3 linked regions of the Kluyveromyces lactis genome follow. The protein of the gene in region 3 binds, or shares a complex with, the protein of the main gene of each other region. Links are inferred from orthologs where the notes say so. Each region holds a gene or a part of one and is shown on either strand. Other genes may lie near its edges. The genes, in order: NUP49, POM152 and NUP116.

Evidence for each region.
Region 1: NUP116 (region 3) and NUP49 share a complex: the UniProt entries of both Saccharomyces cerevisiae proteins name them as parts of the nuclear pore complex. The link is inferred for Kluyveromyces lactis from reciprocal best matches to the Saccharomyces cerevisiae genes NUP116 and NUP49.
Region 2: NUP116 (region 3) and POM152 share a complex: the UniProt entries of both Saccharomyces cerevisiae proteins name them as parts of the nuclear pore complex. The link is inferred for Kluyveromyces lactis from reciprocal best matches to the Saccharomyces cerevisiae genes NUP116 and POM152.

Annotation. Positions count from the first base shown.
Region 1 is NC_006042.1:2,085,633-2,096,589, reverse strand, and holds NUP49 (FG-nucleoporin NUP49), read left to right. Parts: upstream 1-5,896; coding exon 5,897-7,114; downstream 7,115-10,957. Other genes in the region: BUD13 (Bud13p), read left to right, coding at 91-897; chromatin-binding exonuclease XRN1, read right to left, coding at 994-5,355; KLLA0_F22341g (uncharacterized protein), read left to right, coding at 7,624-8,583; KLLA0_F22319g (uncharacterized protein), read left to right, coding at 9,366-9,977. UniProt on the Saccharomyces cerevisiae protein: Functions as a component of the nuclear pore complex (NPC).
Region 2 is NC_006042.1:1,585,004-1,596,686, forward strand, and holds POM152 (Pom152p), read right to left. Parts: upstream 6,120-11,683; coding exon 2,211-6,119; downstream 1-2,210. Other genes in the region: DPI35 (Dpi35p), read right to left, coding at 1-66; mismatch repair protein MLH2, read left to right, coding at 314-2,146; putative divalent metal ion transporter SMF3, read left to right, coding at 7,275-8,705; RSC58 (Rsc58p), read right to left, coding at 9,034-10,486, 10,706-10,761; ATP-dependent RNA helicase ECM16, read right to left, coding at 11,078-11,683. UniProt on the Saccharomyces cerevisiae protein: Functions as a component of the nuclear pore complex (NPC).
Region 3 is NC_006042.1:2,466,511-2,470,046, forward strand, and holds the start of NUP116 (FG-nucleoporin NUP116), read left to right. Parts: upstream 1-736; coding exon 737-3,536. UniProt on the Saccharomyces cerevisiae protein: Functions as a component of the nuclear pore complex (NPC).

The sequences.
Region 1 (10,957 bases), about 380 kb from region 3:
ACAGAAGCAGATTCTCAGATGTTTACATAGCTGTAGAGCTTATCACAGCATTTAGGGTGGGTAGAATTGCAAACCGACCCAATTAATATAATGTCACTTAACGATTTTTTGGCGAAGTCTTACGGCTCAAAGCACGGTAAAGAGAAGACGAAAAAGTCTAAGGATAAGTCATCACACAGAAAGAGCGATGAGTCTAAAAGAGTCACATCAAGAAATATTGATATTATTGACAAGGCTAATCTTATTACTGAAGAAAACAAGAAGGCTGCAAGCTCAAATAAAACAGGAAAGTCTCTTTGGAAAAACCTTGAAACTGAAAAGTTGGAACTTGTACAACACGTTGATGTCGACAAAAAGGACGATAGTAAGGAAAGGATGTCGTCAGGCGCCTTTGCTGGGTTACAGACAGCAGAAGAGATGGAAAAGCAGATCGCAGAAAAGGAAAAACTTTCTATGCAAAAATCAGGGCTTCTCAAGAAGAATCAGAACACAGTATATAGAGACGAAAAAGGTAAGGTAATAGATGGATACGAAGAAGAATTGAAACTTCGAGAAAAGGCTAATTTGACAGCGAAAGTACGTAAGGAAGAAGAACTTAAAATACGAAATATAGGCGAAGTACAAATATCAAAACTTGATCGCAAAACTGAGAAAAGTGCATTATTATCAACCGAAGATCCATTGAATCAAGGAAACACCCTGCGAGGAACGAATACGTCACTGTTGGGTCGAAGGCTTTACGAGAAAAACTTTCCAGAAAATCGGTTCGGTATCGTTCCCGGTTATAGATGGGATGGAGTTGATAGATCAAATGGGTTTGAAACTAAGTGGTTTGCTAAGAGTCACGATATCGCTGATCAAAAAATAAAGGAACAAACAACAAACCGGGAATTTTGAAAAGTTGAACCTGAAAGTGTCTCTATTCTTATATACTAAGCATTATTTACTGAAGTGATATAATATTTACTGTTAATAGTCCATTCAAACCAACATTCAGGTTTCAGTTTTTTTAGGAGAATTTTTGAAATGACCACCCCTCCCGGAGGCACCACGACCACGATTACTACGGCCACGACGACCGCCACGAGAATGAGAAGATCTCTTTGTATCATCTGAGTCTTTATTCTCCACATTTGCTGTACGTCCATTCTCATCTCTAATTAGGAGATTCTTAAGATTCCTGGATGCCTCTTTATCTAATGGTGGATTTTGTACAGGTTGTGACTGAGGAGGAGCTGCATAAGCAATATGCTCATTATTCGGAATGAAAGGCGGCTGCATCATAAGAGGATGAGGAATACCACCAGGAACCATATGTGGGGGAACAGTGAAATTGTAAGGCAGAGAATTTGCTGGAGGTGGTTGAATTTGCTGTTGAGAACCTGGTTTGATTTGGTTCAAGACGGCATTGAACACGTTGTTAGCAGCCGAAGGATTTAAAGTGTTAACTGCTATTTGCGGAGCGGATCCAGATTCGGTATTTGATTCCGCGTTATCCTTCTTGATATGATTTAACAACTCATGGGCTTGCTTTTTTTTGAGTTCCTCCACTCTCTTCTTTTTTGCGAGGGCGACTTGCTTATCATTAGGAACTGCTTTTGGTTTCTTATCAGCACTCTTCGATGCCTTTGAATGATATACCAATTGTCTATCAGACAAGTTTAATAAGAAGGAAGAGTCCAATCCCAAACCACGTCTGGTCTGCAACCTACCACCAAAGTTGTTTCCTGCAATTATTTCATTGTCAAATAGAACTTGGATTGAGACGTTCTTGCCAATTGAAGTGTAGCCAACGACAGTACCTTTGCTGTGAAGTGGAACCTTGCCTGAATCTTGAATGTACATTACCCTATCACCTAAGTGGAACCTTTGGGAGCGCAATAGAACATATGACGATTCCGCATTTAAGATTGCCTCACGTGGGACCTTAGCTAATTTCTTCTGCTCGCTTGAATCTGGTAAAGAAACGTATTTTATGATTTCAGATTCAACAGCTGCCATCGAAGCCTTGGTTAGCGAATCACTTTCCAAAGACACCACCACGAATGGTTTTCTTGCTTCTGAGAGCCAATCAGCCACTGTTTTCAAAATGGAATCAGCTTCCGCGCTAGATTTGTTAGGGAAGAGATCAGTGATCGATGGAATTGCTTGTTCCTTCGAGTTAGAAAGTTTCGCAAAGAACTCAGGGAATGTAGATCTGAACTGCTCTAACAAACCAAGAGCGACGTCAGAGTATTCCCATTTGTTTGAGCTGCATCTGGCATAACCGAGAACTTTTTGATTTCTTGCTTTGAATTTGATCATCAAACCGACGTTATGGCTTTTCTTTTTAGAATCATTGACCAAATATCTTGAAGTAATTTTTGACAAGAAGAGAGGGTGGACACGAGCTATTTTTGAAAACACTTGTGTTGGGTAGAATCTCAAGGCTTGAGAATCCAATTTCGCTCTAACTTTTCCGATGTTAGGCTCTGCTCTGAGAGAACCCTTTTTGACTGTAAGTTTTAATCTAGTCTCACTATTATAACCATCAACGGTCGCCTCCCCACCATACGCATAATCACCTAAAAACACAACTTTTGAACCTTTTGGAAATTCTTTATTAATTGGTAACGGCTCTTTTTCAATATATCTTTCGTCCTTATTTTTTACGTCCTCTACGATTAATTGTAAAGGATAGTATTCGATAGTTTCATTGAAAGACTTAGAATAGGAACCATCAGAGTTTCTCACCAATCCATTTACTGGAACCACTTTAGCCAAAGCAGAAATGTCATCCAAAAGAATGGCCTTTGTCCTTTGATAATTCGATTTGAGAGTCATCTTCAACTCTCTAAATTCTTTCCTTTCAAAATCCTGAGGCTTTCTTTCAATGACCTTTGTTAATTTGCCTGACTTAACTCCTTCATACACAGTTTCCTCTGTAATCAACGACAAAAGTTTAGATTCTCTTAGAAACGGCCATCTTGAATAAACAATCTTACCCATATGTCTTTTTGCTAGATCTGACAGAGAGATGCCATTTTCCTTGTAAAGGTCCTGAATATGCAACACCATAGATTGTTGTTTAGAAGGGAAATTGAAGACAACAGAAGAATTATAAGCAAGCTCTGCAGTTAGTGGTAGTGTCTTTAGGGATGGGAAACCGGCCAAAGAGCTAGCTCCGAGTTTAGCGCCCTTTGGCAAACCAAATAAGAACTTAACGTTTTCCATCGATTCTGGAATGAATTCCCTTTCGATACAATGATTGTGTTCAATATCATTAAACAACCCCGCTAGTGGTGTTTTGTAAACTGTGTCTACCTGAGGATTGAATATGAAAATCAGATCAGTTCCGAACGAATTTCTTTTCTTTTCATCCGGAGAAAGCTTAGCATCATAAGGAGCCATTGCTTCTACTAAACGCTTTTGATCCACGAATGAAATTTTGACGACAGCTTCCCAGTCTGCTGTTTTGCCATTTAGATCCAACTCTACTTCGTTAGGATAGAAGTCCAAGATAGGAGAGTGTTCATCATACATGAGTGGTCTGTACACAACTGGAATCAAATTCTTTGATCTCTCAGGCAAGACGGCCATCAATTGTTGGAAGGGCTTGAAAGGCTGTCCCTTGTGAAATTCTATGTTCTGATCTATACCTTTGATCACATCTGATATACGAGGAGCGTAATGATATCTGTAATACCAGGACCAAGATGGACATCCACGATAATAGTAGTATAAAACCCATTGTAAACCTCCGACATAGTTTTCTGTCATTTCTTTTAGACTATCAGTATCATTGATGGAAAAATCTAATTTATCTTTATAGTATTGATCTTTCCACTCAACGAATCTCTCGCTATAAATTTCACGCTCTTCTTCTAATTCTTCTTCAGATGCAATAATAATACCTTGTTCATATTTCTTAATAGAACGTCTTGTTTCGTGAATACGGGCTTCATGCTCTTCATCTGTTTCTTGCACATTGATGGAGTCTAAATCCAACTTGAAGTAGTACAAATCTTTTGATTTAGAATGAGCAAGAATTAAACCCAAATCAAATGCGAATTCCTTCAAGAAATCCAGGTTGGCCCGAACCAATTCTTTATCCTCAAGAGGGAAAATTTCGAAATCGGCATCCTGTAATTCAGAAGTGACCTTCCGTTGAACGGTTTTCAATAACCATGGTTTTACGGCGCCAATCAATTTCTTTTGTTGTTTCATCAACAACTTTTTACCCATCCTAGTACGTTTACGCTCACCTTCCAAGGAAATATTTTCAAGTTGTTGATTGAACCATTCAACGTCAATATCTTTCTTCTCAAAGTTAAGGTATTCAAAATCGGACAAGTACTTCAACCAAATGGAAAATCTTGCCAAATTTATCTTACCTTGTTCATTAATGTAACCATCCATATGTTGGAGAGCTTCTTTAAAAGTTTGTAATAGCACAGGGAATGCACCTTTTTTCAAATGCAAATCGGGCAAATTTGGTAAGAAATCATTACCGATGGTAAATAATACAAAGATGAAATCATCTAATACTCTTTCAAAGTCGTATTCAAACTGCACAGAATCTGTTATTTCTTCGAACTCTAATGCCAAATATTCTCTCAAGATAGACAAATGCAACAAGAAGAAGTTCTGTGTTTCTAGAGTTTTCACAGAAGACGAACGTTTACCAAAAGTAACTTCTTCTCTTAATAAACAAAAGTGGTGATCATGGGTGGATAAACCTAGGATGATCAAATCAGCATCTAACCCGTAGATACAATGTCTTGTATTTGGATTGTAATCCTCTTGTGCTCTAATTGCTCTGATGTAATCCATGATCTTATGTTCACCTTCACCAGGAACCTCATGCCCGGAGAAAATAACCTTCACGTTCTGCCATCTGGTATCGTTGGTGATCTTGTCATGGATGAAATATTTCAAATTCTCGGTTAATTTTGCCATAAATTCTGTTCCTGGGGTAATAGCGTTGGAATCAAATGGCTCTCCCTTAGGCAACTCGTCACCATTTTCAATGGCCTTCTGCAAAGCCTTTTCGGCATCCATGGCAGTTCTGAATCTACGAGCTCTTTGTTGGTTCATCTTTGCTCTTGGGGCCACACCATCGATTGCCATATAAAATGTCTGTTTTGGTTTAATAGTATGGAAAAGATGATCAATATAACTGAAAATTTTGGAATAAACTTCTTCCTCTGATAGTCTTGAATTCACCTCGCTACCATCACCATGCGTACAATTATGCAAAATAGAATTCATATCCAAGTACAAATTGTCGAACTCTGGAATCTGTGATCCATCGATCAATTGAGAAATTTGAGGCCATCTCTCAGAGATGAAATGAAAGAATTTTGGAATACCCATTTTTAGTTAAGCCACAAACCGTAATTAATTGAACACTTTCTGAGGTTTGCTTTACTGACTTTTTTCCTCCAACAATAGAAAAGATCAACAACAACTGGGATTGGATAGTACCAGTAGTATACGTTGCCGAACAATGAGTAACCACTTTTAGTGAATTGTTATAATATACCCTGATATGGATGAAAGACCCTGAAAGTACATTAACCAAAGCTACTGTTTAGTAACATAATCGTTAAGGTAATTTGGTAATTCTTTCCAATGTTCAATCGGAATATTTTTCTTGGTGGTGGCAAAATTTTTTGAGACGAGGTTTATGGGTTACCCGGATCCATAAGTTCAAGCTTTTTTTTCTTGTTTTATACTCTTTGATGGAAGAGTTGAAAACATTTTGAATATGGAAACTGAGAAAGTAAACAGATGAGGTTAAAAAGAAAGATGGAGAGAGCAGAATTGAGACACCAATTGATACTGAACAGTAAGTTGAATTAACTGAATTTACGGCGTGTAAATATCTAATACTCTTATTACTGATAGAAACGAAATGTTTGGCCGTTCTTCTTCTACAGGTCCTCCAGTAGGACCAAGCACAGGAGGAGGATTATTTGGGAATACGGGCAACCAGCAAAGCACTAGCGGTGGTCTTTTTGGTAATAACAATGCCACATCAGGTAACACTGGAGGAGGGTTATTTGGAAACAATAACAATACAGCGACACAGACTGGCGGAGGATTATTTGGCAGTAATCCAGCAGGCACCAACAACAATACGAACCAAACCGCAGGAGGACTTTTCGGAAGTTCTAATAATACAGCCACTGGCTCCACAGGTGGCCTATTTGGTAACTCAGGAGCCGGGTCTGGCGGAGGCTTATTCGGGAATAAGTCAGCACAACCACAGACCACTGGTTTTGGAAGCTCTGGAACTGGAGGAGGATTATTTGGATCCAAACCAGCACAACCACAGACTACCGGTTTCGGAGGCTCTGCAACTGGTGGAGGATTGTTTGGATCCAAACCAACTACCGGAGGCCCATTCGGAAATCAACAACAGCAATCCCAACAATCTGGTTTAGGAATGTTTGGACAAACACAAAATCAATTTCAACAGCCACCACAACAACAGATACAACAGACTCAACAGAGTGCCATTAATTTCATTAACCAATTAGCTATCACGCCGATGACCAAGATATCGGAGCTTCCGATTCAAATTCGTCAAGAAATCGAACAATTGGACCAATTCATTAGAACGCAAGTGTCTTTATCCAAACATCTTGAAGCTGATCTACAAGATCAAACTGAACTATTGGATTCAATCCCTCGTGACATCAAGTATCTACAAAAATTGCATTTCAACGCAACAAGATCACTATCATCAGATTTGAAACGAATCGATGCCATCAAGACACTAGTGGATAAAGATGTTAAACAATTGGAAAATTTTGCTATAATGTTGCAACAACTAGTCAGTAAGGGATTCAAAATATCAAACGTTGAGATAGATAAGTTCTTCCAGGAAAAATTAATCACATACAAACACAAATTAAATGACTACAACGACACTCTAAGCAATATTGACGACGCAGTGTCAGGTCTAGAGAATGATCTCTTTGGGAACGATTCATCCGAAGATGATGATACCAAGGTCGGTGTTAACATTATCGTCAGCGTTCTAATCGAAGAGTTCAAACTATTCATGGATACAGCTGAAAGAATAGCAGAACTGCATCAGAAGTGTAAAGAAATAATAGTTAAATAGTCGATATTATTCTTTTAATACTATAAAAAAAGAAAGCGTTCAAGAACATATTACCTATTGATGCAGATCACTAACTCCTGCACATGCACTGCACCTGCACCGCATCTGCCACTTGTCTCTTCGCAGTCTTCTCTTCTCAGGCTCCCTTTATCTTCCCTTCCTTATTTAGGTCAATGAGTTGTGAAAAAAGGGAATTTGATACGACAAATATAAAAGGAATAAGGATTAAAAAATGGTTAACAAGGAGTAACAGTTTTCCCGGAAACGAAAATGTGAAACAAAGAACAAAGGAAAGGCGTCCTGGTTTTGTGATTATACTCAAGAAATATATATAGGACTGATAAGAATTTTAGAACGTTGCTGGCAACTAACTATCATTATTGGAATATCAGAGACATATTAAGTGTGACATTTTAGTATTAATTCTGTCAGTATAAACTTATTGTAGATCAAGCTTCAGGCGTAAAATCAAGGAGCTAGGAGATTTTTTTTTTGATTAAAGCGAAGCGATGGCTGAAGTAAAAGATAGATGTACATCAGTGGATGGAAATGACACTTGGGGGGTCGTTGGTGGTGTGGACGGTACATATTCCATCAGGGATCTTGACGCTGGTGAAATGGACGATATTTTATCGGTGACAAGCAGCGACTTAGAGGATTCCGCAGTGTTGCAGAATAAGAAAGGGAGCGTTAATCATAGTAACAATACTACGTCGTTATCCACGCCACTGGATTCATTATCCAACGTTGCGCCTGCAAAGACAACAGCAAGGAGCAATACATGGACAGCGCGCTTGACGAAACTTCAATCCGTTATTCTTGGAATTTCGTTGGTGGCCGGTCTCATCAACATGGGCCTCTTGACCGTTTTCATCCGTGATATTAACAGTTTTACTAAAAACAACGAGTTAGAGTGTAGTTCACTAGCTTTCAAGGACAGATTGGCTTGTCAATTTGATGCATACATGGGCCATAGGGCCCATGCATACGAAGCAGCATACGTGAAGAAAACGCCACTTCCATCCACTTTAGCATCATATTACCCTAGCTTCCCTTCTCTTGAGCAATATTACGAAGTATGTCAGAAGAAGTTGAAATTTACTTATGCAGCAACTTCTAACTGGGTCAGTACAACGGTGAGGCGTGAAAACTTCGAAAGCGTTAAGGAATGGACGAAGAATGCGAAGGAAACAGCAGAAGACCGGATCACTGCTTTCTACTCGCTAACTAAACAGAGATTCGATAGCTACAAGGAGACGCAATGGCCCCGTCAACGACAATCACTATTCAAGTTCAGAGTAAATTTACAAGCTGCTATCCATAGGTACCAGAGAAAAATGAGGAAAATGTACCCACTTGAATTCCCACATTTGCGCAAGTTTTCCGTGCCTAGGATTTGGTACAAATCCTCTGATAAGCTTCGCCACCAATACCATAAAATACTTGATCTCTTAAGGGTAAGAATGTGATGTGTGATTCAGGGTAAAATTTGATATATACCATACGTAAACAGTTTTTCCAGGATATATATGTATGTGTATTTCGTTTCTAAAGTATGTCTTCATCAGGCCTACAGCACAGAGGTTCTCTCCCAGTTATGACGGAACATCTTGGGCCAGATCATGTCTATTTCCCCGTCGCATGTCCGGGTAACAGGAGGGGTAATCGTCCAAAATCAGATTTCGGGGATGCAAATGACTTTCAGACCTTTTTAAAAAACCCAGGGCGTCCCGAAATGATAACTAGCTTATCAGCCAACACGTGAATTTCCCACGTGGAACCAAATACGCCGAACATGGATCTGCGTAATGTTAATAAGGTACCTCATCTTAAGTAAAACGAAAAGGAAATTGTTAGAAAAGCACGGTCTTTATCAAGAAAAGACCGTGCATGGTGCTGCATGTGGGTTCAAGTTCACGTGGTAATGATTGGAAAGTACTGCGTACTTTGTTGGGAATTAATTTTTGTTCTCTTCCACTCGAGGGACCACGAGTCATGAGCAAGGGAAAAACGTGTTTTATATATGCCAATCATAACGGCAATCTAGTGACATTCTTGGTAGGTTTCTAGTAAACCCGCTTGGCACATGTCTGAAGCCATGTAACAGTGTATAAATATATATATATATATGCATATAAAAAGCATTTTCTTTACGGGAGTTGACCAGCGGAGGAGACGTAAAAGGCCGTGGGATAAGATCAGCACACGCTGACGCAAATAAAAAGATAACATAAAAATAAAACCAAACATAATGGATAAGAAGATGATTTTACCACTACCCAAGAGCCCAAAGGAAATGGCAGAAAATCGAGGCAGAGCGACACTAAGTTGTAACCAATTTTCGCTTCTTCCATCCATTCGTAACTTAGTAAACTACACAGACACAGACAATTTCGATGATACACCAAGGACGTTACCTCCAATAACTAAACTCTCGATAAGTCCCCCGTTGACCATTGCCGATGAGAAAAAAGTAAAAGCTGAAAATAAGATAGACACAAGTGACGCAATATTTAGGCCCAGAGCCCACTCAGACTCTTCATGCTCTTCCACAGATTCATTGTCTGAGTTAGATTTCAAACAATTGCAAGAAAAGCTACTGCACGATAGACCAGAACCCGGGTACATCCACGAATGGAACCAAAAGCAAGGACGTGGGGCTCGTTACAAGAAGAAAATACACTGTAAGAAATGCCACATTTGCGGGAAAGAATTCTCTCGTCCAAGCACTTTGAAAACACATATAGTGGTGCATTCACAGGCGAAACCGTTCAAATGTACATATCTTGATTGTAACAAGAGCTACAATGTCAAGAGCAATTTACGAAGACACGAGAAGAAACACAAGTGCCACAAGTGTTGATTTTTATCTTTAACCTTAAAGGATAATAAGCTTTTGAACTTTTTTATACAAATCGTATACTACAATATGATGCAGAATGAAATACAGGTAATTAGGATGGTATATTTTATATTTACATATTTATACATATAAAGCACACAGATATGTGCATTGGTATATGTATATTACGGTAAATAAGAGCGAAGATCTCAGTGTCACACGACACATCCGTAAATAATGATGATACATGGCCCAAAACTTGTTTTGTTTCGAGGAGGGCCCAGACCCTGTTGAACGGCCTTGGGTGTTATCATAATCATTATTGTTACCCTCCCGAGAATCTTACAGAAACATGAAATTCCAGTCACCCAGCAAAGACGTACCCACTTTATAATTACGTACCACCATCATCCGTAACCCTTGCAAAGCCGCTTCAGAAGAGAGCAGCTCGGTAGCTGAGGTTTATCGGGATCAGGTTAGGCTGGCTGCCCATGCAACTCTTGCTCGCACGCTCATAAGAAGCTAGCAAACCACGTTCTTTTTTATAGCTATATATGGACAACAACCAACGTTTAATAATCAATAACCCACGTAGCCGTATTGCATCTAACGACGTATTGTTTCTCCTCTTACTGCCGTTTCTTGGGAAAAAATTGCACTTGAGTGTTTTTGCCAAATTTTTTTTTTTTTTTTTTTTGAATCATCGGTTGGCAGGGTAAAATTTCCGTTCTGATGGATTCTCCCCTCGAAATGATTAAACCATGATTCTTCACTAATTTAATTAATCTCCAAGAATAAATACATATACTATATATAAATGACGGTGTTTGCCAAGTATTATTTTAGCAGACCACTTGTTCAGCAAAGCTAAACAGACATTTAAAGAGAGAGCAGGTACGTTTCATCGAGGTATAGTGTTAGCTGGACGAGGGATTTGCGCTTATCATTGAAAGATTAGCAATTTAAAAATAAAATAACATTGCAGGAGAGGGATCAAGGTC
Region 2 (11,683 bases), about 880 kb from region 3:
TTTTGGCCGCGAGTGCTGCAAACTGCCATTTTTGAGTACCTCTCTAGGAATTCTTACCGGTACCATATTTCCCCGGTTAGATTAACGTTACTTGACTTCAATCTACTACTCTGAAATCGAGAGCTTTTCTATGTTTTATTTCTTTTAATGGTTCAACTTGGTATACATTTTTCAGAAAAAGCTTGGTCGAATGTACTCTGAAGTTCATCAACTTAGATCTGACATATAAATACAGAAAGCAGATATACAATAAAAAGATGCCTTAAAAAGGAGTAGAGATTCTGCCCAGGGATAAATATTGTAAAGTCGCTGTATGAATAATAGGTTTCATTGTTGGCTGTTTGAAAATAGCACTTCAACAAACCGTGTTATTGATAATCCTGTCTCGGCGGTTAAACAGCTGATAGAGAATTCGATAGACGCCAATTGTACTAAAGTGCTGATCAAAATAGATGAATCTAGCGGCGGATGTAGGTACATCCAATTGAATGATGATGGTAACGGAATAAGTGTCCAGAAGCGCAGCAGCGTTTTTGTTAAACACTTCAAAACTGACGGTAAATCATGCAAAAGAATAGGGTACAAAGGAAGAGCGTTATATAATATTGGCAAAACAGCATCGAAGAAGGGATCTATCGAGGTGATAACACGGACTATTTCAGAGAATGTTGCTGTTAAATGGTCACCACCTAGAATCAGAATAAATGAAACTATTAGATTTTCCAAGGTAGTGAATCCACCGGGTACGACAGTTATTCTCAGAGACCTAATGACGGGAAGTAAAAGCAGTAGACTGGCAAAGAAAGATAAAAATTATATTAAAATGATTAGGGATATGCTTTTTCATTTTTCTTTGATTCATAAGCATATATGTTTTAGTTGCCAGCTTGTCAATCCTCTAAGGGACGGAAGTATCAAGACTTTAGAATATGTTGCGCGGTTTGGTAAATATGAAGACCGGATGTCGCAATTCAAAAAACATGTTACCAAACAGAATCTTATAGTTGAGTTCGAACACTTTGATGAGATAGAGCTAAGTGAATCTCTAAAAGTTAATATCATATTGCCCAAAATTCGAACACATGGCAGAGTGACAGAATTGATGCCGAATCTTAAATATCCTTGCATTAATGGAGAAGCAGTAATGGTACAATCAGGCTTTGGTAAAAAAGTCAATCATTTTTTCAAGGAATTTTATAAGCATTTCGGGAAACCAGAACCGAGGGCATGGTTCATTCAATTTTTATGCCACCATACTAGCGACAATGCTGTAGTCAATGGCGAAAATAAAGCTGTCGCACTTACACTGGAAAAAGCTCTATCTATTTTGCAATGTTCACTGCTCACCTTCTACGCTCCACACATGCAGTATAATGATCCTTCAAATTCTACCCATATTGATAGTGAATCAGTGATTTTCACTCGTAGAATAATTAATACAAGTGACATTCCAAAGCAAATTCACCGGCAAATAACCAATAACCCTACTCAACAAATTCTCGAGAAGGAATCTGAATGGTTGACAGACATGTATAGCGGCACGCTATCCGATGGTAGATCTTCACCAGTAAGGGAAAACCTTCTATATTCTGACATTGTGAACACCGAGGATTGCTGCATTGAGCGAGATCTTGAAGACGTAGAGCTATCCAGAAATACGACTCTTTCAAATCCATTTATTCTTTCTCGGATCCGTGCCAGGAACACTACAGAGATAGTTGACGATCAAATTAAAAGTTCGGGCATACTAGAAACATACTATCAGAGGCAGACGCAATCTTCTGAGTTTTTTCAAGAACCAACAAGCAAGAGAAGAAGAATTTTGGAAAATGATCCAGAATATGACCATTCAACAACCCTTGTTGATATTGAGCATACAGCAACCAACAGCTCTACTAAAAACCTCGACTTACAGTTTGAACATACTTTCAATCTCGGATGTCGCAAAGCTGTCGGCCGAAGCGTTCCATGGAAGCTTCGTTTCTTGAAAAATGCCTATAAGAAGGAATTGGTCTGGTTCCACAGGAGCGGCATGCCCTCATTACCTTTATTGGATGGAATACAAACGCTAATGGAAGGCGAAGATAGTGATGTAGATTTACAGCTAATTCTTATGCCAACAGGTTGGTTTATGATAGCCCTATAGTTCACCACTTTGAAGGATCAAATGAGTTTTAAGATGGTTATTTATTATACAATGAAATCAAATTTCAATCCAACAACGCACGATTCTTAGCTGCGCAGAAGGCGTCTGACACTTCTAAAGCTTCATATGTACCTTGTAGACTGGTCACAACTCTGTACTCGTAAGTATAGATATCGGAAACTTTGTGTGTTTCAACAATTTGTTGCTTTCTGCCCTTTTTGGTGCCAGAGTTTTCAGTACGGACGTAGGTTAATGCGAAAGGAGGTGTACCTTCGAAGGAGAATATAACTTCAGCTTTGTCACCTTCATGAATATCTTCAACAATCTCTTGGCCTTGTGATACTGTTACCGACGGAATTGGATGTATATTCAAAGATAACCTTTCAAAGTCTTGTTTCATCTTCGGATTTGTGAAATCTACTACACATTGTGATGAAGAATCCTGGATTGAAAAAATAGATATAACGCCGGGCTCAGATGCATATCTGACGAACTGAGAGGAACGTTCCTTGGATTTTAGCTGCTTACCATTGAAGTCGTACTTTATTATGAATGGAGGTGTCCCACTCAATTGGTATCCAACGTAATCCCCAACACAATATTCCATGGTAGAGTCTGCTAGGGATATCCTAGGAACGTCTGTTATTGATATTGAAATCTGATTACCACTCGAAGATAGGTCATTGATACAACCGTTTGCATCAGTAACACTATCAATGCTTACTAAATGATTTCCCAACGAGAGGCCATCATACAATCGTTTGTAATCAAAGTTAGCAGCCGTAATATTATGCATGGTGAAAGAATCTGTTTTCGAAGAACTTTCGTGATAAATACTGAACGAAACAGAGAAAGGAGCTGAGCCATGAGGCACCTTCAGTTTGATATCCTGCATTAGCTTTGATTGCTCTATGTTTGCGGAGCAGGTTCTGTAGGTGCTTCCTTTCTCTAAGAATTCTATTTCTGGAAGTGAGTTTACATTCTGTCTTATCGAAAGTTGAGAAGGTTTGTACGCAAGTTTTTGGAGGTCAGCCTTCCCATAATTGGAATCATATACATTCTTAATCTTTATCACATATTCACCAACGACTTCATTAGGGAATTTAATTGAAGCATACTTCGTAGCAACTTGCACTGAAGATGAGATAAGCTCTCCTAACGGTGAAATCATATCATATTCTATCAAAAAGGGTGGTATGCCGTTTAGAGACATATCGATGGTTTCTTCAAACCCTTGGCAGACATCATTTTTAATGTAGTTGAAATCGTCCAGTTTTGAGATTCTGTTGTGCTCAATTAATGAGTACGTAGGTTTTTTGAGATAACTTACTTGGAAAGTATGGTTCGGATCTACGATCTTGCCAACACAACTCTGGTCACGAATTGAAGCCAATTTATACAAACCTTCCTTCATAACCTTTAAGGCCGGTTTATAGTTGGAACTGAAAGTCACCTCTTCAGTTTCGAGAACGTCTCCCTTGTTATCCAAATGGCTATAGGTGATTCTGAAAGGTCCTTCACCTGAAAGTTTTAATGGAAGTTCTGCGAATGAAGCTTCTTTAATGCTGACTTGGGAGGAAGATTCTGACACAGCAAAAGAAGCAGAAGGAATATCTCTTCTAACGGTAATTCTGGCATCAGTACCACTTAGACCTACCAAACATCCACTGGAATCCTTCACAGAAACTAAAGATAGGATATGATCACCACCAATGTTGAAATTAGGTGTTTCGATCTCATAGGAAAAACTTTGAATATTCTCTTTATTAAACGAAGTTCTCTTATTAGAAGAAGTCTCTACTAAATCATAGTTTAACGTGAAAGGAGGCTCACCACTGAATTTAATAGGTACCTTCGTTTTCCCTCCAAGACATAATTTTGTCTCTAGCTTCCCTGAAATCTTTGCACTAGGTTTCACTCTCATGCTGGTTTTGAATGTGTACTCTTTCGAATCTAAGGAGATAGGAGATGTGAAAAGTTCATTTGACAATTCGGTGAAAACAATTTCATAACTGCCTTCTGATGTGGGTGAATAAGTAAACTGGTTTCTGGTTCCTTGGGAGCTGAATTTTTTTGTATCATATAGTTTACGTTCTCCTTGCTCAGTTTTGTATATTTTTGTTTTGTAGTAAAAGGGAGGAACACCGGTAAAAGTAAGATCAAAATTCAAGCCGACCTGTCCAACACATTGATCTAATATTGGGGTTGATCTTACAGATAATTGAGGAGGAATTGGTTTAGTTATCAGAACATTAGATTTTCCAATCACGGCACCGTGGCAATACCTCGATTTTACTGAGAGCAAATTATAAGAACCTGGCTCATCAACTTTGAATTCTAATGTTTTATCATTGAATTGTTTTTCGAAGTATCTCACTTTGGAGTTGTTATCTTCATGGGATAACTGAACGATGAATGGAGCATCCTTGTTAAAATCGCCAGAGTCCAATTTGACTATTAAAGACCTTCTAACAGAACTGTCGGGATTCATTTTTTCATCCAAAGATACTCTTGGTAAGTCGTGCACGTAGAATCTGTGGATCAAATCATACTTTTCTCTTACTTGTGATGATAATGAGGAAAAATCAATGCTATTACCAAATCCATCCACAATTCTTTCGATAGAGTAAACATGTTCACCGTATTCTTTGGTTGAAGTTTCTAATGCGATATCTACAGGGTACGAACGAGCCCATTTTAAATCTTGGACATCTTTTTGACTGTAGAATTTTGAATTCGTTAGCAAAGGTGATTCAAAATATTCTGGTTGAAGTGATGAATCTTCTAGTACGTATCTTTGGCCATTGATTGTCTTAGTATAAGTCAATTTAAGAGGTGGAGCACCTTGTACCTGAATTGAAACCTCATCATTATCTCCAACACATCTATCATTTTCTCCCTTTCCGTTAATGGAAGCCAATGGGCAGTGAGGTAGCACTAATTGGGATTTGTATATTCTCAAATTGATATTATTAGTGTCTAGAACGGTTTTCAACTGGTAAAACCCGATTTTGTTAAGAGGTACAGTAAAGTAATGTATGTTACGATCAGTTTCTTCCTTTGAAATATCTGCCTTGAGTGGTTTTAAATCGTTCTTGGTGAAGTTCCACAGTTCACCTTCATTTGAGTATAGATCTCTGAACTCTAACTGGACTGTATTGATTGTGGATGATGAGTTGACTCTTATAGGTAGTTCAATGGCAGGACCAGATTGGTCCAGTGGTAGACAAAAAGACGAGTGGAAGGGATTCAAATATGCTGTATTTTCTGGCAAAATTTTAATGGTATGTGCACCTTTGAAGTGTTCTGCCGAATTCATAGCCTTTCTTGGGTTGACAGAGTCACCTGTTAAGGACAAGTCTCTGCTGTGATACTGTCTCCATAATGACAATAGAAGCGATACCAATGGGATACTTTGTTCACTGGAGATAAACAGTGTGAGGGTTGCGGATGAAATAATCTGCAAAAGCACTATCAGTGGTTTGAACTTTAATTTGGGTATTTTGAACGTGGGGAGACAGTAAAAGAACAAAGAGTCTATTACCAAATATTTTGAAATGAAGTTTAACCTTGAATTCGATAGAAAAATCCCAGATAATGGTATCCCACTCTTAAGTAGGATTAGATCGTATAGTTTGTAGCATTGAATGATAAAAAAAACGACGAAGGCTAATCTTCTCTGACTGGCTGCATCGAGAACTTCAGTAGAAATCAAAGGTAGCTCCTTAATCGATTCACTCGCTGGGCCATTCTTTGCTCTACTAGTGCTTGACTTCGATTTTCCTGTGTAATTGGAAAAACCGGATATACAAAATGGATCTTCTTTTGGTTTGTTGATCTCTTCATTTCTTCGATCGCTTATTCCTCCTCTGAACGAGTCTTTATCTCTATTTCCAACGTTCCTACGCCTACTATCACTCCACATCGATGGAGTATGTGTATAGAACCCATTTGTTCCGAAACTGGAATCCATTATCTAACTGTATATGCGTCTGAACTTATCTCAGCTTCCCTTTTCAACAGAATATGATTCTAAAGTGCCAATACGCAGAAGTTTAATAGAAAAAAATGGGATCACGCATACAACTTATCACTTAGTCGCTCGCTTTTTAATTGACGATTGGTATGTAACGGGTGCCTGGATCGCGATTGCTTGTTGATCCTAGCCTGCATCTGCATACATGAGAAGACCAAACATAAGCTTAAAGTTTGAACTTCTGTTTGTTGACAAGATCTGAATCGGATATATCATTATGTACGATTCAGGTTTCGCTTCTGATCAAGGTACAATGGTCAAGGACGCAGCAACTCTATATGATCTGCCACTACGTTGTGGTCTTAATATTCGAATTATAGCCTCTTGAATTCTTCGCCTATCCAGAATTACCAGTGAGATCGTTTGCATCGATATTATAATGTCGATTCCGTTGCATAGCTCCATTGCTTACGTCAAATTCCCGTCAAATTCCCGTCATCCTCTCATAAAACCCTAGTCAGAAGCAAGGAGGACATAAATGCTAGTAAGCAAATGTCTTTACCCCATCTGGCTAATGAATCCTGAATTAGGTAAGTTTTATCATGACCTCATCTGATAAAAACCTCGGCAAATTTGAATGCCAGATTCAGTAATAGTAATGATAGCTAAGGGTCCTAACATATATAATATATATATTTACCAGAGAGAAAAAGAATGTTTTGGTTGGAATCGAGATACTTCCATTGTCCAGGATCGTCTCCTTTTTTGAATCACAACTGGAGCACTGGAACTTATTTGTTTTCAACACCATATACAGCTCTCACGTTCGTCGTATATAACATTACAGAGGTGCATTTGAATCTCCTTCTATAAAAGAAGTTTAGAAATTTAAGGTTTTGATTTATTTGATTTGCACTCTTACAAATAAGTCATTTACGAGAAGAGAGTTTGCTAAAACACGATACGTTAGAATCTGTAAGAGTTTGAGGCGCTAGCTCAATAGAGGTCAGATATTCTGTGTTGTAAATTGGTGATAGTTCTGCTGTTTTCATTCTCTGTTTATTGGAATTTAGATAAAGGAACGAAAGACGGTAATTTATTCTTGGCACGTTACTGTTGGTACTTAAAGATTATCTAAACTGTGAAACTGCCATGCTTATACTATCTCGTGTATTCGAGAGGAACCATGTTGAAATTTTGAGGAAGTTTATGAAGTTTGTCGGACCTGGGATCATGGTCAGTGTTGCATACATGGACCCTGGGAACTATTCTACTAGTGTGTCAGGTGGTGCACAATTTAAATACAAATTGTTGTTCATCACATTCATTTCAAACATATTTGCGATTGTCTTGCAATGCCTCTGCATCAAGCTAGGTACAATCACTGGTTTGGATTTAGCTGAAAACTGCCGTCGTCATTTTTCAAAGCGTGTTAATTATATTCTATACGGGTTTGCAGAAGTTGCAATTATCGCAACAGACTTGGCGGAAGTGATTGGTGCTGCCGTTGCATTAAATATCTTGTTTAACATTCCCTTGTTATGGGGTGTGCTGTTGACCGTTTTTGATGTGTTGCTGATACTTCTGTTTTACAGGCCAGATGAACATTCCATGAAACGGGTCCGGGCGTTCGAAACTTTTGTTGGGATTTTAGTTGGAGCGACAGTTATTTGTTTCGCTATTGAATTGTTCAAGATATCCGTACCAAGCAAGTTAGAGGTGTTCAAAGGCTTCATTCCAAATCCCATCATCTTCAAAGAACAACAAGCGATGTATATCTCTTTAGGTATTCTTGGTGCTACTGTGATGCCTCATTCCTTATTTTTGGGTTCCTCTCTCGTAAAACCAAGGGTTTTCGATTACGACTTAAAAAAATACGGTAAAATTAAGGAACAACCTTCAGTAGGTGCCATTGAGTACACGTTGCGATATTCGTACGCTGAATTGATAGTGTCGTTGTTTTTCATCGCCACTTTCGTCAATGCTGCCATTTTAATAGTCGCTGGTGCGACTTTATATGGGCAACCCGATGCAGAGGATGCTGATTTACTCTCTATTTATGAATTATTGTCCCATTATGTGTCTCCAGCTGCTGGGCTCGTATTTGCATTGGCAATGCTCTTTAGTGGTCAATCAGCAGGTGTCATTTGTACCATGGCAGGTCAAATTGTATCAGAAGGGTTTTTAGAGTGGTCACTTGAACCTTGGGTGACTCGTCTATTGACAAGGTTGATAGCCATCGTACCCTGTTTCTTAGTTACGGCTTTCTTGGGAGAAAAGGGGGTATCTAGTATTCTAAACTTGAGTCAAGTGGTTCTCTCATTGATTTTACCAATCGTTTCTGCTCCTTTGATTTACTTCACTATGAATCATAAAATTATGACCGTTGTGGATGTGGATTCTGCACCCGCATCTGCAGACAGTACTGAAGAAAGTAGATTATTATCGAAAGGCGTTAAGTCCATTGACTACACCAATGGAAGACTGTTGAGCATCAGTTCATTTGTTATATGGTTGACAATTGGTTCATTGAATTGTTATCTTGTATTTTCATACCTCATGGGAGCGGACGTGCATTTTTAAGTCTAAGTAGGCATTTTATATAGTTTTGATGGATTCTGTTTAATCTATAATCAATTCGTAAATTGTACTTATTGGATCTGCTTTGTTGATCTCTTCTCTTGTACCTTTGTTGTGGTTAATTTCTTTGTTCTTTATATAATCTTTAATTGTTCTTGGACATTTACCTTCGAAAGTAATTGAGGAAGTAAAAAAATCGAAACACTGATGGTTTCAGAAAATAACTCCAAATAATAGTAACCGTTAGCTATCACTGATAATAAACTAGCCCCACAGATTATTGCACACTACCACAGCTGCGATTTATAGATTCTATACGGAAATATCTACTTCACTGCATAACTTTCTTACTTTTCTTTTTTCTAGTCGATATGGTCTTGACGACAGGAACTGATCCGGCATAATTAGTCTGAAGGACTGGGAAATGTTTCTCGTGCAATTTTGGAGATGTCACAATCTGTTTAGAAAGTAGAGCTTCTTTCAAGATGTTCTGTGCTCTATGATAAAGGGAAACTTCCTCACTTGTTGGTTTTGATATCTTGTTCAGCTTGACCCTTCTCGATTTACATGCCTTTAGCTTTAGCAATATCTCTGTCAATAACCTTTGCTGTTCACCTTGCTCAAAAGCCGTTATATCTTCATCATGTATCTCATGGCTAGGTTGCCAGTCATAAAGATTTTTCAAATTAATATTGACAGGTCCAGCTGGCTCCGTTGTCACTATTACTTCATCTCCCTCCTCATTTGTATCTTGCTCTTCATCCGTGGCAACATTCTGCTCTTCATCATTTTCATTTGATTCCTTTTTTTGGTTGTCAGATCCGATACTGTCATTTGCTTCCTCAACCTTTTGATCTTCAATACCCTCATCCTTTATTTTTTCATCTTCAACATTTTTATCTTCTGCTTCCGCAGCCCCTCTCTTCTTCGATTCTATTTCTAACCAGCTTTTGTATCCGACCTTTTCCAACCATATGTCTCCTTTACGGGAACAATCTGTTACAGACTTGAACTCCGAGATACTCGGAGCAAAAGATTGATAGTCGCCATACTCCAACCATTTAGTAGTGGGTAGCGGGTACCAATTCGGATGCAGAAAGGAGGTCATGATTTCTGTAGGAGAAATTGTTGGATCAGGAACATTGGAAGTGTTAGCTGCTACGAATCCCAATCTATTGGCTGGTTGGGATGTTGCTTGAGGAATAATTTTCACAATTTCACATTCCTCGTATGGTACTTCCTTTGGCCTCTGATCAAGTACTGACCTCGTTATCACCGAACTGAACAAATGTCCCTCCTTTGTCTGCGTATGGTAAGTTTCAGTAACGGGGAGCTGATAAACTTGACTAATTTTAAGGAAATCATTGGAAATGGTTTTTGAAAAATCACTTTCTTTGAAGTCAATGTCTGCCGCGAAGTCTCCCACCAGTTTGGCTCCAACTCTATAACATTCCCTTAGAATCAATTCTGCTGCAAATTTGTAGAATTTGTCGACCATTTGGTACGACCTCGTTCCTTGAGAGTAGTAGTGAATTAAAATGGAGCATACTAATTTAATATCATGGTAAATCCGATAAACAGAATCTTCATGCTTCTGGTAATCTCCACTAGCAAATTTATCAGATATGGAAATTGAATCAATATCTTCTGCTATTTTGATATCTGGATTTTCATCAAACTTGGCCCTTAGAAACTTCACGTAAGAATCGTATATGTGTGTTGGATCAGGCTCGTAGAATTCTTTAGGAAACCTTTCATCTAAAGCTCTGCATTTCGAAGATGCACTAATTAAATCAAAATAAAATTAATACTGTTAGTATTTGATTGTAAAATAAAATCATGCTTTGGCAAATCTAACACTGAAAACATAAAATAAAGACTTGAGGAACCCCAGGTCATCGTATGCTGGTCTTTAATTTATTATTATCACCGATTCTAGACAAAAACATGTGCGAATGCAACATAATTCGAATGAAAAATGTGTTGTTTTTATATTCACATACCCTTTTAAAACAGTTAGTAAGTTCTGAAAAAAATTCTCTTTTAGCAGCTCTACCATTGTTTACTTATTTTTAGCCCACTATAAAAGAGTTTGCAGACCTTGTACTCTCTCACTGCCCATCAGTTTGTCATTCAGCAGTAATGTAAGAAGCCTTTATTGATCAACCTGCGCCAAAACCTGTGTTTTCATTATGAAAAACATCAAAACCGTACATCATGATCCAACTGGCATCCATTGACAGCTTTTACAGAGATTCCTGTCACAGCAACAGTACCCAGTCATAGCCTAACAAGCTAGGTATTGGCCTTTAATTATTCCAATGCAATTGGTATTATATGAGTTAATTAATTCTATAAATTGTACTGGTGTAGTTCTAGGGTCTTTTCGAAGCTTGATAGTTTTTAAATGCTTTTGGAGTAAGGAATTTCTTGACCGTCCATACACCTTTCTCTTTCTCTTGATGAACAGGGATAGGATTGAGTTCCCAACCAATCTTGATGTCGCTATCATTGCAAGATCCAAATCTAGGAACAACATAGCAGAATCTTTCTGTTGGCGATAAATCAATAGGTTTCAAACCTTGTCCAGTGATTGGTTTTCCGTAAGTGAGTAACGAGCCCTTTCTTGCAACGTTAGCCAATGGCGTGCTTTTAATGTCACAAAGAGACTTCATCCTTGTTTTCGCCTTTTCATTATTTTTATTGACATGTAGTGATTGGAAAACCAAGTATTTCGGAGGTTGCTCGCCAGAATTGTTGAGAATTGAGGTTGGATGAATATAAACAAAGATATCATCCAAAGAAGATGTTTTCTCAGCAAGGACTGGAACATAAGGGATATTGAAAATGTTGGTTTTGTTGATAGTAACGTCTTCCGGGAATAACTGGTCTGCGCGAACGGCCACCTGGTCGATAAATCCTGCTGTGATCATTTGCTTGAGTAATTTGATTTGAACATCGGTGGGGATCGAGCTCTTCAA
Region 3 (3,536 bases):
TAAGGGGGTTTCACATCTACTTTATTGTGTCTACCGAAGATTTGCATACCAGAGAGATGCATCTTTTAATGCCTTTACTGCCTGGCTTTATCTCTCATTTTATTTTCATTTCTTTCGACTATATAGAACATATATACTTTTTGGGTAATTTAACAGACGGAATTCATTATATATAACATATTGGAATTAAGTGTTTCAAACAGGGAGCCAACTCAGAATTGCATTAGCAGCTGTTCCCTTGTGCTCAAGTAATTACTGCTACATCACAATCCCCCAAAACTACGTATCACTACGTACGCTATGTCACTTAATACGATTTTAGGTCATCCCTCACCTCTGAAAATTTCTTTATCCTTGAAGTAAACAACTAATTGATGATAAAGAACTAACGTTTTCTAAGTTGATGCAAGCAATGTTTCGGCTTATATGATTTGTCGTATTTGTCTTTCAGTCATACTATCAGCAACTGAGACCAATAAAAGTATTCATACAGTGCGTAAAGTGGGAAATTTTTTTATAGATCGTTAATTGATTAGTGTGTTTCTTCTTTCACAATCAGAGAACAAGGACACTCACTCATCTTTAAATTATTTCTCAGAAAAATACCATTGAACCAAAACGCTACGACTTTGGTATTATCTACTTAGAGATTACTTGTGTCATTGAAGGACATATTATTTTATTCCTAGTCAGCTTTTTCATCAATTGTCACCTCACTTGATTTCCTGACCCACTGATGTTTGGTGCTTCTCGACCGGCATTTGGACAGACGAGTACTTCTCCTTTTGGCCAACAAACTCAGTCAACAACCAATGCGTTCGGTCAACAGCATAGTGGAACCACAAACAATCTGTTTGGATCCAGCTCTGCCAACAACGCGCAATCAGGGTTTGGTGGGTTTGGTACCGGCGGCGCTAATACAAACCCTACGCAAACTATAAATTCCCCATTCGGTATGTCACAACAGCAAAATACAACTACTTCTCCGTTTGGCGGGGCAGCAGCAGGAGCAGCAGCAGGTAATTCATTGTCGAACCCACCATCCCTGTTTGGTGGTAGCCAATCTAGTGGTACAGCGACAGGCGTTCTCTCTTCTGGACCTCCTTCTGGCACTGGAATCAAGCCATTCCAACCTTATACGGAAAAGGATGTGTCAACTGGATATCCATCGGTGTTTCAATCTATTACTTGTATGCCTGAATATAGCCTTTATTCGTTTGAAGAGTTGAGGTTCCAAGATTATCAACAAAATAGGAAATTTAGCACCACTGCTGGAGGTCCGACAGCTTCTGCTATTGCTTCGCCATTCGGTCAACAACAGACAAATGGTACTAACAACACTTTTGGTTTAGGAAATAAAAATACCATCAGTGCAGGTGGCGCAACTCCCTTTGGTCAACAGCCTGCAAATTCACCTTTTGGCCAGCAACAGCCTGTAAATGCATTTTCACAACCTAATAACACTCCCTTTGGCCAACCACAGCAGCAACAGCAAACTGGCATGTTTGGACAACAGCAGAATAATTCTCCATTCGGGCAAAATACTGCTTCAAGTTCTTCTCCATTCGGTTTAAACAAACCGGCTACCTCTGGAGGTCTGTTTGGACAAAACACCACCAATAATAATTCCGCATTTGGTCAAGCCAACAACTCATTATTTGGTCAACAAAACCAACAGCAAAACCCAGGTAACGCATTTGGTCAAAATACTGGTTCAAACACCTTTGGGAGCACTTTCGGCCAAACAAACACCAACAATCAACCGGGTGGTTTGTTTGGACAAAATAACACCACAGCGGCCAATACTGGTGGACTTTTTGGTCAACAAAGTAACGCCAATAACGCATTTGGTCAGAATAATAACACCTCAGGTGGATTATTTGGATCAAAACCAGGTGGAACTACAGGTGGCGGTTTATTCGGTCAGCAAGCACAGAACGGACCCTCTCCTTTCGGTCAACAAAATGCTGCTAATTCTACTCCATTCGGTCAGGTAAACAATACTCAGGCGGGTGGATTGTTTGGACAAAACAACACCAATACTGGCGGAGGTTTATTTGGACAGCAACAACCATCTAACACAAACAGTACAGGATTATTCGGACAACAAAGTAACGCAGCTAGCACTGGCGGTCCTTTCGGACAACAAAATAGCAACTCCATGAATCAACAGGGCGGAGGATTATTTGGTGCGAAGCCAACTACCGGTGGCCTGTTTGGATCAAACAACCAAAGTCAACAAGGTTCAACTGGGTTATTCGGAGCTCAAAATAAAACTGTAATGGGTGGTAGTTCCGCGCTGTTTGGTCAAAATAATCAGCAACAACAATCTGGCGGATTGTTCGGACAAAGTAATCAACCGTCTGCAACGGGGGGGTTATTTGGTAATCAGAACCAACAAACACAGCAACCTAACACCGGTGGTTTATTTGGTCAGCAGAACAACAGTATGGCAAACAACACCGGAGGATTGTTTGGTGCAAAACCAACAGGAACTACTGGTGGATTATTTGGCCAAAGTAGTCAGCAGCAGAATACATCTAGCGGATTGTTTGGTCAAAATAACAACCAGAACAACACAGCAACGGGGGGTCTATTTGGTCAAAACAACCAGCAACAAGGTCAATCATCGGGTAGTCTCTTTGGTGCCAAACCTTCCGGCACTAACGCTTTAGGAGCTACCAACGGCGGGTTATTCGGAGGCAACACACAACAGCAGAATACGGCTACTGGTGGTCTATTTGGTGCCAAACCAGCTGATAGTGCGTCAACATCTGGTGGCCTTTTCGGCACTAAACCAACAGGTGGTTTGAGTAGTACCACTGGAGGTGGATTATTCGGTGGAAAACCTGCCGGAACTGCACCTTTTGGCGCAACAAACACGAACAATGCCTCATCAATTGGTGGCGGAAGTTTATTTTCTGCGAATAAGCCAGCAAATACTGGTTCGACAGGATTATTTGGATCACAAAACAACACTTCTGGTAATGCAAATACAGGTGGTTTATTCTCTTCATCTTCCTTGCAACAAAACCAACAAATGCAAAACCAGCAGCAAGCAGCACAAGCGAACTCCAATCCATATGGTACGGATGAGCTATTCTCCCGTGTTATCTCTATTCCTAATTCCATTACTCAACCAACTAAGCCTAGTGCCACAATGGTTTCTGCAGACTTGAAGAAAAAGAACTCCCTCTCCGCAGCATACAAGCTGCTTCCAAAACCCTTGTTTGACTCTAAAAAGTCGGAACCGAACTCCAGAAAGGTTAAAATTCATCTAAAACTATCAAAACCCAAGGAGGAAGACACTAGTTCGACTGCTCTAACAAGAAAGCCTATGGATTCTTCAATTTTCACTGCATCTACTGATGAGGCTATTTTAACTACCGGAGAACTCCTCTTTAATCCAGACAAAAAGTCTTTCAAAAACCTTATCATCAATCGCCAAAAGATGGAAGAAGATGATACCTCATCTGGTGAATTGAAATTCATAATCTTCAATACTGACGACGGACCACAAAAGAAAATGGAACAGA